Arabidopsis thaliana: one gene and its partner. The protein of the gene in region 1 interacts with the protein of each later gene in a biochemical or structural test. Each region holds a gene or a part of one and is shown on either strand. Other genes may lie near its edges.

Region 1 (6,230 bases):
CAGATCTCTTCTATGAGGATCGTAGTGTCTTTACCGAATCCTGGATAGTTTGATGCAGAATAATAAGCTATGAGAGAGTTTGTAAAAACAAAAACAATTAATTAGGCACAATAATAGTGAAATAATACTACAAAAACATCAAAAATTTAAGTAAACATATATGAGCAAATTGATTAAGCAAATTGATTAAGCAAAAGAATTAAAAAGTGAAACTTTCTCTCGTGTAGATTTCGTCTAAGGCGGTTAATTTGTTGAATCTTAGGCTGAGGAAGAGATCGATACCATCTAGTGGCGGGATTGATGATACACATCAATCTTTCTATACGGTAGACGCAAACAAGGCCATCACAGCTTCCGGTAACGTGCTTTGCACTCATATTTATGATTGCATCTCTGTTCTTATCGAATGAGTCAATTTAGGGTTTTTTGTTACCTAACCTAAACCATAATTCAAGAGGTGCATTTTCACTTGGTCCAGCTCAAACAATCTAAACATATAGTTGCATTTTGTTTTTGCTTCTTCTTTTTCGTGCAACTCCAATATCCAAAGGATGCCCCTGCTTCTTCTTTCTGTTTTTGTTTATCGATACTGATTTATTTCCCTAAATAGAATTTTTTTATCTCTATTTATTATTAGTAAGATATATATAACGAGATCAAAATGATCATATCCTACTAAATTCTACATTGTCGAAATCTGGTACAAGAATAAGAAACAATCATACCAGTGTTGTCTCTCTGAATCAAATGACTGATACCTTCTTAACAGATATCTATATTTATGATTATATTTATATAGAGAGAAACGAGCTTATACGATGTATATACACATTCATGATCTCTACCGTTTTCCCAACTTACAGCTCCATTTTGACCTGATTTGGGTGCAAATTAGCAGAAGCCACCATTACATTTTCAGAAACTGCCATCAAATTGCTGTTATCATTGCCATGAGCTTGATCCTCTTCTCTTCCCCATACCGGCTGGTTCAAGCCGTCAAAAGGCCATTGTTGTGTTGGTGGTTGTTGCAGTTGCCGGTGATGAAAGGACTGTTCGGTCTCAATGGCTTGCTGAGGCCAAGCAAGCTGCATTGGTGCGGCATTGAAGCTCCCATCCATTAAAGAACCGTTCTGTCAAAGAAAAAAACACAGAGCCAAAACCGGAAAAGATATCAGCAAAGGGATCATTCATAGAGATCTTGATCTAGTCAAAGAAGTCAACTGTTGTTGCTGTGTTATTATTATCCTAAAAGAACAAGGTTTGATGAGAGGGTCCCTGGCTATTTAATGGTGGTACAAGCTGTAAGAAGAAAGAGAGAGGGAGCATTTATTTAGTTTGGTCCAAAACTTTTGATGAGAATCCACAGGTGATCATGAAATTAGATAGGTCACTTTGAAATAACAAGATTTTGGAAGAGACCCACAGAAATTATTGAGGGATGAATTAACTTTTTTTTTAAAAGGTTCATCAAGTAACACATCCGACATAAGTCACAGAAGACACAGAAAGGTTTTACAGAACAAAGGTGGTCCGAGTTTTGACCCACTACTGTTATTTGCATTGGGTGTGTGTGTGTGTTGTGTATTTATTTTTCCCTGAGTTTCCTTCATGAGAGTAGACGTTGTGATCTTCCTATGCCTTACACTAAAATGGTCTAAATTAATGTTTGTATCAATAAATACCCCAAAAGTTTCTCCTTTTGTGATAGAAACTAGAAGCTACTCAAAGAGGTATGGTTAACTTAAATGAGAAACACATGAAATGGTTAAATTTTTCCTAGAGAAGACTAATCAGAATGACCAAATTATTGTTTGAGATTTTGATACTTACTTCTGAAGCCAATATGGTGTCGAGATTGAAGTCGATTCTGGGGTTTACCGCAGCAAGTCTCATTGATAGCATCTGTGGAAACACAAGTCACAGTTTCATGAGATTGCGGCACATAATTCTATTCATTTTCAAATTGTTTTGAGTTGACCCTTTTATTGTGCCCAGGGCTATTGTAAAATATAGGTATAAAGAACAAAAATTGGACCACGGAAAGTCTCACCTCCACTTGACGTTGTAATGACTGGACATGGTTAATGATTTCATCCAGCACCAGCGCGGTACCTTGAATCTGCAGGTCAAAGACTTTCTGATAAGCTCGGATTCATATTAGGTAGATCTGCTTTCACATACCAAAAATTCTTTCTAGACAGCTAACTATTGTTAAGATGATCCAATATTTCAACGAGAAAATACCAAGATTCCAAAATACACAGTGAAAAAAGCAGCAAGAGAATGACGTGCTAATCTAAAGCTATTATAATAAATGGTATCTACTACAATCACAAGTAATCAGTATACCCTAGGGGGGCTAAAGGAACAATCAATCAAGTCCTCACAGCTCACCTATAGAATCCAAATTTTAAACAAACACTGATGTTCCATATCATCATCTCTATCACACCAATAATTGCTGCTAACTTCTAACATCAGGGATGATTAATTAGCTGTCTGGGGGAGTGTCACATCATGTTTCCAACTAATTAGGTATGTGGGACTCAAAGCATATCAATTTTTGTAAAGGATCATTTGCTTTAATCGTCCTTCTAAGAGTCATTTTCTATTTTTCCTTGATAGATACCGAACTTGTTAGAGACGATACTACCCCTTCCTCACCTTCCATAGAAAGATTGCAACTTTTTTCCCACTTATCATCAAAAGATGGACCCCAAAACACACTTTGATCTTGATCTTTCCACCAAAATCTGTCCCCTAAACCCAAAACCTTAATGGCATATTACAGCTAGCACACTTCCTAAGGTCATTCTCGTCATTTATAGACTAATCTTCAAGCTCAACGAACACACTTATGGAAAAAGAATTCGATAAAGCAAGGTCCTATCACTTCCGTGTGACTGAGTTAACCTTAAAGCTAAGTGTGTACCCGTGAGATATTTCTCCCCACACGAAATAAAAAAATAAAGTTGAGATCTCTAAAGGCATTACTACACAATTACCCAACTGGCTACTTTGGCACACCAGGAACCACTTTTCTTAATAAAAAAGCAATTAAGCAATCCACTTTTTAGGAAGAAAAAAAAAAGTAGGTGTGAAGGATTAAGACCCTTAACAAAAAGACTAGATCATCTAATAATAAATTCTTACTTTTGGAGTGAATCAATTAGAGAAATATAATGTCGTTAATCACAAATGAAGACCTAATGATTGATTAACAAATTGATTACACGTCTATATCTAAGAGACAAACCTTATCACAGCCTGGGACCAGTTCCTGTAACAGCTTCATTCGTGCATTTATCTTCTCTCTTCTTGCCTATAATCCAAAAATTAGTGATCAATTAGCGAATTAATCAACTGATTAATACCAAAAAAAAGAAAAATTAGTGAAGGCAGATGCAAGTTACTCGTTCTGCTAAGCTATGGCTATCGGTTGCTTGACCACGACGAGCTCTAACGTGAACATATGGCAGCTTCTCGTTCTCTTCAGAGCTTTTGTTCTTCTTCGTCGAGCTTTTACCCTATAAAAAATCAATCTGATGAAACGAAGGATCAAATGTAAAAAAGTAAAAACATTTGTCTCTCACTCTAACCTTCTTTTCGAAATCTTTCCTCTTCCCATTTCGATTGTTCTGGTTAGGGCAAGGGATTTGATTCTCAATCGCTGAATCAGAAATCAACCGCTGAGATGAATCGGTCTCAGCAGGCTCCGTCTTGACTCTGTCGAGATTAGCACTTGAATTGGAAGGTACAGAGCTCGTCGGAGTCTCCCCGGAGATATTTCCGTTTTGTTGCTCAGTGGCAATCACCGAGAAACGAGCTGCTCGCTCCATGAGAACTGAGTTAGAAGGAAAAGCCAATGTCCCACCGAAAGAGTGAAGCGGCGGAGGAATCTCTCCACCGATCCCTGTCACTGCCGCTTGTTGAGAAGACGAAGAATCAGTGAAATGGAGAAGCTCCACTGCTTGTGTAGGTGGAAGCTCAAGCAAAGCCGTGAACGAACCGCCGGGGTTCTCGGGAGGTAAAGTCGTCACTAGTTGCCGAAATTCGTCACCGAGATGTAGCGATTCAAGGCCTATTGGTTCCCGGCACGGTCCAACACCGCCGGATCTAGCTCCAAATCCTCCAGTCAGATCCATAAACGGAAACTCACTGGAAATCTTCGAAAACAATAACACCAATAATCGAAACCAAATTCAGCAATTTGTGTAATCAAATCTCACGACAACAAAACCCTAATTGAGCCTCCAAAGAGAGCGAGAGAGAGACTTGAGTAGAAGACTTTTGTCAGTAAGCGAGTAAAATGCGGCGAAAAATAGAAAGGAGAGAAGGTGGGCAACAATGGCGGTCTGAAGAAATCCCTCCTTCTTCTATAGCTCAGAGAACTTGGCGAAGAAGGAATAGTTATTCTCTCTTCTTCTTCGTCTTCTTTCTCAAATGTGTGTGGAAGAAAAGCTTTTACACCAGAAGAAGAGTAGGACGAAAGCAACGTTAGCAGTGGAGTGCGTCTGTTAAATAAAGGCCACTGTTAGACAAAAGAAAGAGAAAACCAATTTTGGTTATTGTAGGTACGGTACGGTTCTTTTGTTATATATTTTGCTGGATCCCAATGGATATTACTTGGGCCTTTTGGGCTTTAACCGGTGACTTTTTATCTCTGATTATAAACTTTTTTTATCACTCCTTAATTTTGTAATTAGTAAATTTTTGAAGTATTTTGATACTATAATATAAAAATGATTTGAATAGGGCGTACCAGAAAACGGCACATATTTATTTAATCGAATCGGTAGATTAGATTTATTCTTCAGCAGGACCAGCCTGCTGTCTCTGACCACTTTTCTTTTTTTCTCGGTATAATAATTGGATTTTCGTATAGTATTATTATCAGTAGTTAATGCCATAAATGGTGTTACATCAGGTTTTCTGACTTTCCACGGACTCCGATTCCGGTGTCAAATTATTTTGTTGACCTGTAAATAACCAAGAACCAAAAACACTTTTTAATATGGAAAAATAATTGAGCTCAAAACACCATTTTAGTAATTATCTCAGCCGTTGGATGAAATCTACCAAGCGTAATATTAATTTTTTAAAAATATTTTATTTTTTTTATTTTTTAAAAATATTCAAAATTCATCAAGTATTAAAAACTTTAGAGTATAAAAGGCAAAAATAAAATAAAAATTGAGACGTACTAATAATATTAATTCAAAATATCTTATAAATTTATTAAAAGGAAAAAAAAAAACAATTAATGTTACTTCTTTAAAAGGGTGTTTTGGGGATAGAGAGGAAAATTTGAGGACAAAGATGAACAGATGGGTCCAGTGGAATAACCTGTTTCACACAATGGGCCGAACAGGAAATCCACTTATGCTCTAATAATCTGAGCCCAAATCCCAATTTCCATTTCATTGCAACAAATCATCGTTGCTTGATTATTTTGATTAGCCAATTTCTTCTTCATGTAAGTAAATCTCAAAACTGAAATTTAGTAAAAAGGTGTAGAAGTGGAATATAAATGTGCTAAAATATCGGTTTCACTTTCAGCGATTGGTGATGTAAGGTTTGGTGTAGTAGTAAAGTCTCAATCAAAGAGAGGAAAGGTACAATCTTTTTTTGGCATTTCCAATTTGGCAACGTTACTTACTCTCCCAACGTCCATTACTTCTTTGGTGTCTCAGATATTGATGTGGCCAATTCTTTAACCAACCTAATTCCTACGTACATATGTGTTACTCTTTCACATATATACACTTTATTCTAAATATAAAGATTTTGAAGCTATACGGCTCTTTTCTGTTTTTATTCAATTAGATGTCAAAATGAGTATGAAACATGCAAAGTCTTTATCAATAAGAAACATTCTAATTATGCAAAGTCTTTGCCATTATAAACGCAGTTCAATTTTAGATGATTTATCTTTATAAAATTTGTTCCCGAGCACAGTCTCGAACTCATATGAGACTAAAGTTTTTAATATTCACACATAAAACCTTTATAAAAAATTAAAGAGATATATTTTCTTTTATTGCTGAGAAAGCTGTGAGGATTATCTTCACAATACTTACGGCATCTCCAACACATCTCTATTTTTGTCTCTACACTCTATTTTTGCTTTTATTACACTCCAACTCATCTCTATTCTCACTTCCATTATAGAGATCTCTATTTTTTTCTCTATATATAGAAACAAAAATATGGATCTCTATTTTTTTCCC
Region 2 (5,212 bases), on another chromosome or scaffold:
AGAAGAATTCAATAGCAATTTTCATTAATAATGCATTAACACTTCTGAGTCTGAAGATCATATTTTATATGACTAAAAGGCTGCAAACACACCATAATAGGCAGAACTTTTATTTTAAAAAAGGAAAAGGAAACTTCATAATACACATGCCTAGCCGTCGCTCTACAAGTTCATTTTTACTCAACAAAATGGAAAACTAATAGTATGATAACTCCAAACAATCAATACAATTATATATTGTACACTTAAACAGATACAAACTATGTAGTTAAATAAGTTAAACTAATAATAAAGCAGAGACCTTCAATTATTAGCACCCTTAAGTTCTCTGAAACATGCATCCACGCAAACTACAATCCTAGTTTAGGTATTGAACCCAAGGCAATAACAATCATCACCATATTATATATCTAATCATAGGTATTTTTAAAATAATAAAATTCACCAATGCCACTATAGAAACATACCTTTTTCCGTTTCGTAATTAAATGAATATATCTTGCTTACCACAGAATACCATTTTATATTTCAACGTATATTGTAAATAAGATTTTAAATATTTAATGATATAGCATTAAATAAATAAATAAAATTTATACTAAAACTGATATTTTTGTTATTGATATTCATTCTAATTATTGAAATCATTAAAAATAACTAAAAATGAAACGGATAAAACTATATCATGTTTGGCACCTAACATTACAAAAACAATCAAGAAAATAATTATCTAGTAAAATATATTTGTTCAAGTATCATAGCTTAGTTATTGAAAAACATACACTAATAATAATCAAAAACCAAAATATATATACCTCATCAATCATCATAAATAAATAAGAACAGTCCATGCATTTATAATTCGCTAGGAAATAATATCCCACACACAGTCCATGCATTAAACAAATAATATCGTATTCGTACCACACACACATAAATATAGAAAGAGAGAGATGAGAGGATGAATACTCATAATTTATAAACTCTCACATGTTACCTCCTTGCTGATCATGACCATTGTTCCAAGGAAGAAAAGTCCCATACGACCCTCCGGTGCCACGTGGCATCTGATTCATCACCGGACTTGCCCCCGAAAGCCTATAAACCGGGTTCAAGGGAGGCAGTTGCTGCGACGGAAGCGGCTGAGGCTGAAAAACCAAGTCCACGACGTTGCCAGGTGCTCCGGCGGCTGATGTGGACAAACCATAATGTGCCAAGTCAGCATTAGCTGCGTCGAGCTCCTTCTGAAGCCTATGGACTTGTCTCTGGAGATAAGAGATGGCTCCGACGCAGCCATAGACGGGGTCACGGACACGTGCCTCGGCCTCATAGGCTAAGGAGTTGACTGCGTCTTCACGTTGGTGAGGGAGGAGCTCGTTGAGGAGCTTCGTGACGTTGCTTGCTCCAAAGATTTTGTGGACGTTGGCGAATTTGTGTGGCTCCTCCGGTGGAAAATATGGCGCGAATATGCATCCCGGCATGCATTTCCGGCGAAGAAACTTGCACGCCGCGCATGGTGAGTTGTATGAGTTTGATGACGACGCCATTTGTTTTTCTTCTTACAACCTAATATTGTGTTTTAAGAACAAAATACAATTAGAAAGAAAAGTTAAACACACACATATATAGTATGTTTATACATACGATCTACATATATATAATTTAAATTTGCCAGTAAATGATAAAACTCCTACGTTTCGTTTAGAAGTCATTTTTCTATAATTTCTATATTGCAACTTTTTCAAATTTTATATTGAATTTTTTTATTTCCTTCTTTCATTGAATTCCTAATTATCTTTCCATTGATTTTCCCTTTCCACGTTTTTCTTGATGTATATGTAAAATGTCCACCATCAAATCTAATGAAAGGAAAAACATACTATTTACAAAACCTAAATGTCTTTAGATTGAATATTAATTGAACACGTTAGGAACACAGAGATAATCCGGACGTGCTGGAACTATAACTTTAGTTTCACATAACGTTTTTTTTTTCAATTAATTTAGTCTACACTAGTTTTCAAGTAGACAAATATCACTTCACATATTTAATCCCCTATTACCTTCTTAATTTATCTCTACGAATATATTTAACTAACTTCTCCGAATCTTCCTTAACAGAGTATACACATACCCACACTCGCCTTTAATTCTAGCTAATATATGATGTCATACATGTCGATCAGTTATTCCCTGAACAAAACAAAACCAAAAAAAAAAAGCAATCTTATTTTTAAAATGTCAGATGAGTTTGTGTATCCCTCTGTATCTATATCAATCTTACATATAAATACTACATATTTTTGTTCAATGCATATCTACTTCATATTTTACCAAAATATATCAAACAGTTTTTCTTTGTAATTCAATTGTGTCCTGATGTGTTTTACCATCTTCTTCATCTTCCTCTCACTCTCTCTTCAACCCTAGCTTTGTTAAAAGAAACTATAACTTAAAAGGGAAACTCAGTGAGGATTTTATAATTTCTATTTGTATGCCTCAAAACTAAACTTGGTCAAAGAAATTTCAAAAATTGTCTTTACTAAGTAAGATAAACTCTCTCTTTTTCTCCGAGATGAAGCAATTCTACTGACCTCAAGTCTATACCAATTTGGATTTGTTTGTAAACTTTAGATCTGACCTTAATTATGTCAACTCAAAGAGATCACGAAGGTTTAATTACACGTGTTTACTTATATCCTTGTCTCATTTGCTATAATTAATTAGATAACCTTGTTAAGTCTTTATTATAGTAGAAATTCAAAAGGAAAGTGACAGAAGGATCAAAGTGAATATGTGTATGAGCAACATAGAACATAGAACATGGAGCATAGAAAATAAAATTAAACATAGATTAGAAGACTTGTTTTGATAATCGGGAGCTATGCATAAATCCAGGGATTTATTAAGATACATACATCAAAGTATATACATATACCTGCCTTTAGATCTTTAGGTTCTTTGAGGATCTTGTATCTTTCTTCCTCTTTCAAGGGCTTTTACCTTACCCTTTGAATTTCGCTTCCAAAGTAGATAGAGTAGGCTTAACTCTTTAGTCAATGAGAGGGATATATTAGGGTTTTAGCCCTCTCAAAGAAAGAGGAAACCCTAATGTCAAGAAGAATTGAGAAAGGTTTGTATAGAAGCTGAGAATTTAAAGAAACCAAACAAACAAATAAAAAGGAAAAAATAGAGAAATGTTTTAGTGGAGAGGAAGGAGAAAGAGCAAAAGACAAAGTGTAATAATAACAAATGAACAATTAATAAACAGGAAGAGGAGGAGAGGGTATGTCCCTTAAAGAATGACTATGACATTTCATCTCAAGAATATTAGTAATATCATTTCACTGTGCTTACTTTTGTCTCCCATTAGATTATTTTTTAAAACCTTAGCTTTTGTGAATTTTTCTTCATACATTTAATGTTAACAATATTCCCTAACAGTCCCGAAATCAACCCTAAGCTAACTAATCAATTATCATTGTGTGTATATAAATATCACTATATATGATCTCTCTATATATACCTGTCTCACGCTGATGGCCAAAATTTGGAACCTCAAGAAAACCCTAAGCATCTCTCTATATCAATCTCGACTTTAATTGAATATCATAACAAACCCTGATTTGCAATGAGAACTAAAGAACATATTATATGACTGTTTTTGGCAGAACAAACTATACAATTAATATATAGCGGTATAAATTTGGTGACTGGTAACTTGTTCTCTTGTTCATACCGTTGTGAAAAAAGCTTGACATCCTAAAATTAACAGCAATGAATTGAACCTTTTTTTCAGGTGTGGCAAAATAATTCTTCAATTTAATTTAATCGAACAACAGTTAATAGGAACAAGAATAAACTCTTGAGACCTCAAAGTAGCTACGTAGAGACAGGAAATCAGTAAAAGTCAAGCGATTTCATGTGAACGATCAAGTCAAGTTTAAATAGGTTTTGTAAAATCAGAACTTTTGTAATGGAAAATAAACTATGAGGGGGTCCGAAGATTTTTGAAGCTATAGCTAGCTAGGGTTAGTATCATACAACAGTTACTTGTGTTAGATTATATATTATTGGAAGTGACAACCGATTGAGACATTTTTCATAATGTCTTCTTCTTTTTATTTCGCACCAATTCTTGGTCTAATGTAGAATTCAAATGGTTCAATATTGAAGATATATTAGACTGGCAAAATTCAAATGCAAATGTAGATCATAAATAGTTACCTAATGGAAAAGTAAATGAGATAATTTTCTTATTACTATCAGAAAATTGTGGTAAATTAACCTTTTGAATATTTTCAAGATCATTATTTGTTGGTCTAAGTTATGATGGTGGTTAGTGGTGGGAACTTAGTAATTTACTAAAGTGAAGCATCTATAGGCTTTATCACCAAACTAATGTCTTCATATTTTTCTTAAGATATTAATTTTGTGACTAATATATATCGGGATTAGGGTTCGAAAATAGAGGTCCTATTCTTTTCTAAAAGAGGAAACTAGTCTCGTACTTGGAAAGTAGAGCTTCTCTCTCGTTATGATACAAAAATTGACTGATTATTCAAAGTTTTCAATGTTATTGATTGCGCATTCTGATATGATAGATAATAAGTAACTATATCGAATAAGTTGAAAGTTGTTTGGAGAGCTATGATATGGTTTATTCGTTCCGTCCGACGTTGTAAATTCAACACTAAGCCTACATATTACAGAAGAAACCATAACAAAGTTTACCATCAAAAGATTAAAGTAATCGATTAGAATGGGTATTGATCTATATATATAGCCCTTCAATATATATAGAGAGGTTGCATATAAAATGATACAAATAGAGAGGTGGGGGTATGAAGTGTTATAAAGGGTTTGCAGAGAGAAAGAGAGAGAGAGGGAATATGGGTCCTCCTCACACATATGATCTACTAAAACTAGACTAGTACCTAGTTTGTCCCTCGAATTTTATTTTTCTTCTTGTAATTTAATTAAGTCAGTGTGACTCTAAGAATCTATAGAAACCACATTTTATATATATGGTCTCATTTGAAACAACACACACATAAGAGATAATGTTGAATTAATGAATGTGCATGTGCTGATTATGGAAGGGTAAAGTTAGAGGTATATATGGGAGGTCAATGATGCAACTTGGAGGAATAGTTTTGTGAATATGTCCTTTTGTTTTCTTGTTTGTTTTTATATATGTAGAATCGAATAA

Evidence for each region.
Region 2: the proteins of AT3G57800 (region 1) and LOB form a complex in vitro, tested with the Arabidopsis thaliana proteins (one study listed by BioGRID).

The regions. Positions count from the first base shown.
Region 1 is NC_003074.8:21,407,177-21,413,406, forward strand, and holds AT3G57800 (basic helix-loop-helix (bHLH) DNA-binding superfamily protein), read right to left. Parts: upstream 4,437-6,230; 5' UTR 4,146-4,436; coding exon 3,600-4,145; intron 3,528-3,599; coding exon 3,414-3,527; intron 3,323-3,413; coding exon 3,257-3,322; intron 2,761-3,256; coding exon 2,665-2,760; intron 2,395-2,664; coding exon 2,350-2,394; intron 2,120-2,349; coding exon 2,051-2,119; intron 1,903-2,050; coding exon 1,831-1,902; intron 1,420-1,830; exon of another isoform or gene 1,225-1,419; intron 1,131-1,224; coding exon 858-1,130; 3' UTR 613-857; downstream 1-612.
Region 2 is NC_003076.8:25,307,737-25,312,948, forward strand, and holds LOB (Lateral organ boundaries (LOB) domain family protein), read right to left. Parts: upstream 3,284-5,212; 5' UTR 2,939-3,283; intron 2,194-2,938; exon of another isoform or gene 2,064-2,193; intron 1,567-2,063; 5' UTR 1,548-1,566; coding exon 987-1,547; 3' UTR 810-986; downstream 1-809. UniProt on the Arabidopsis thaliana protein: Not known; ectopic expression of LOB leads to alterations in the size and shape of leaves and floral organs and causes male and female sterility.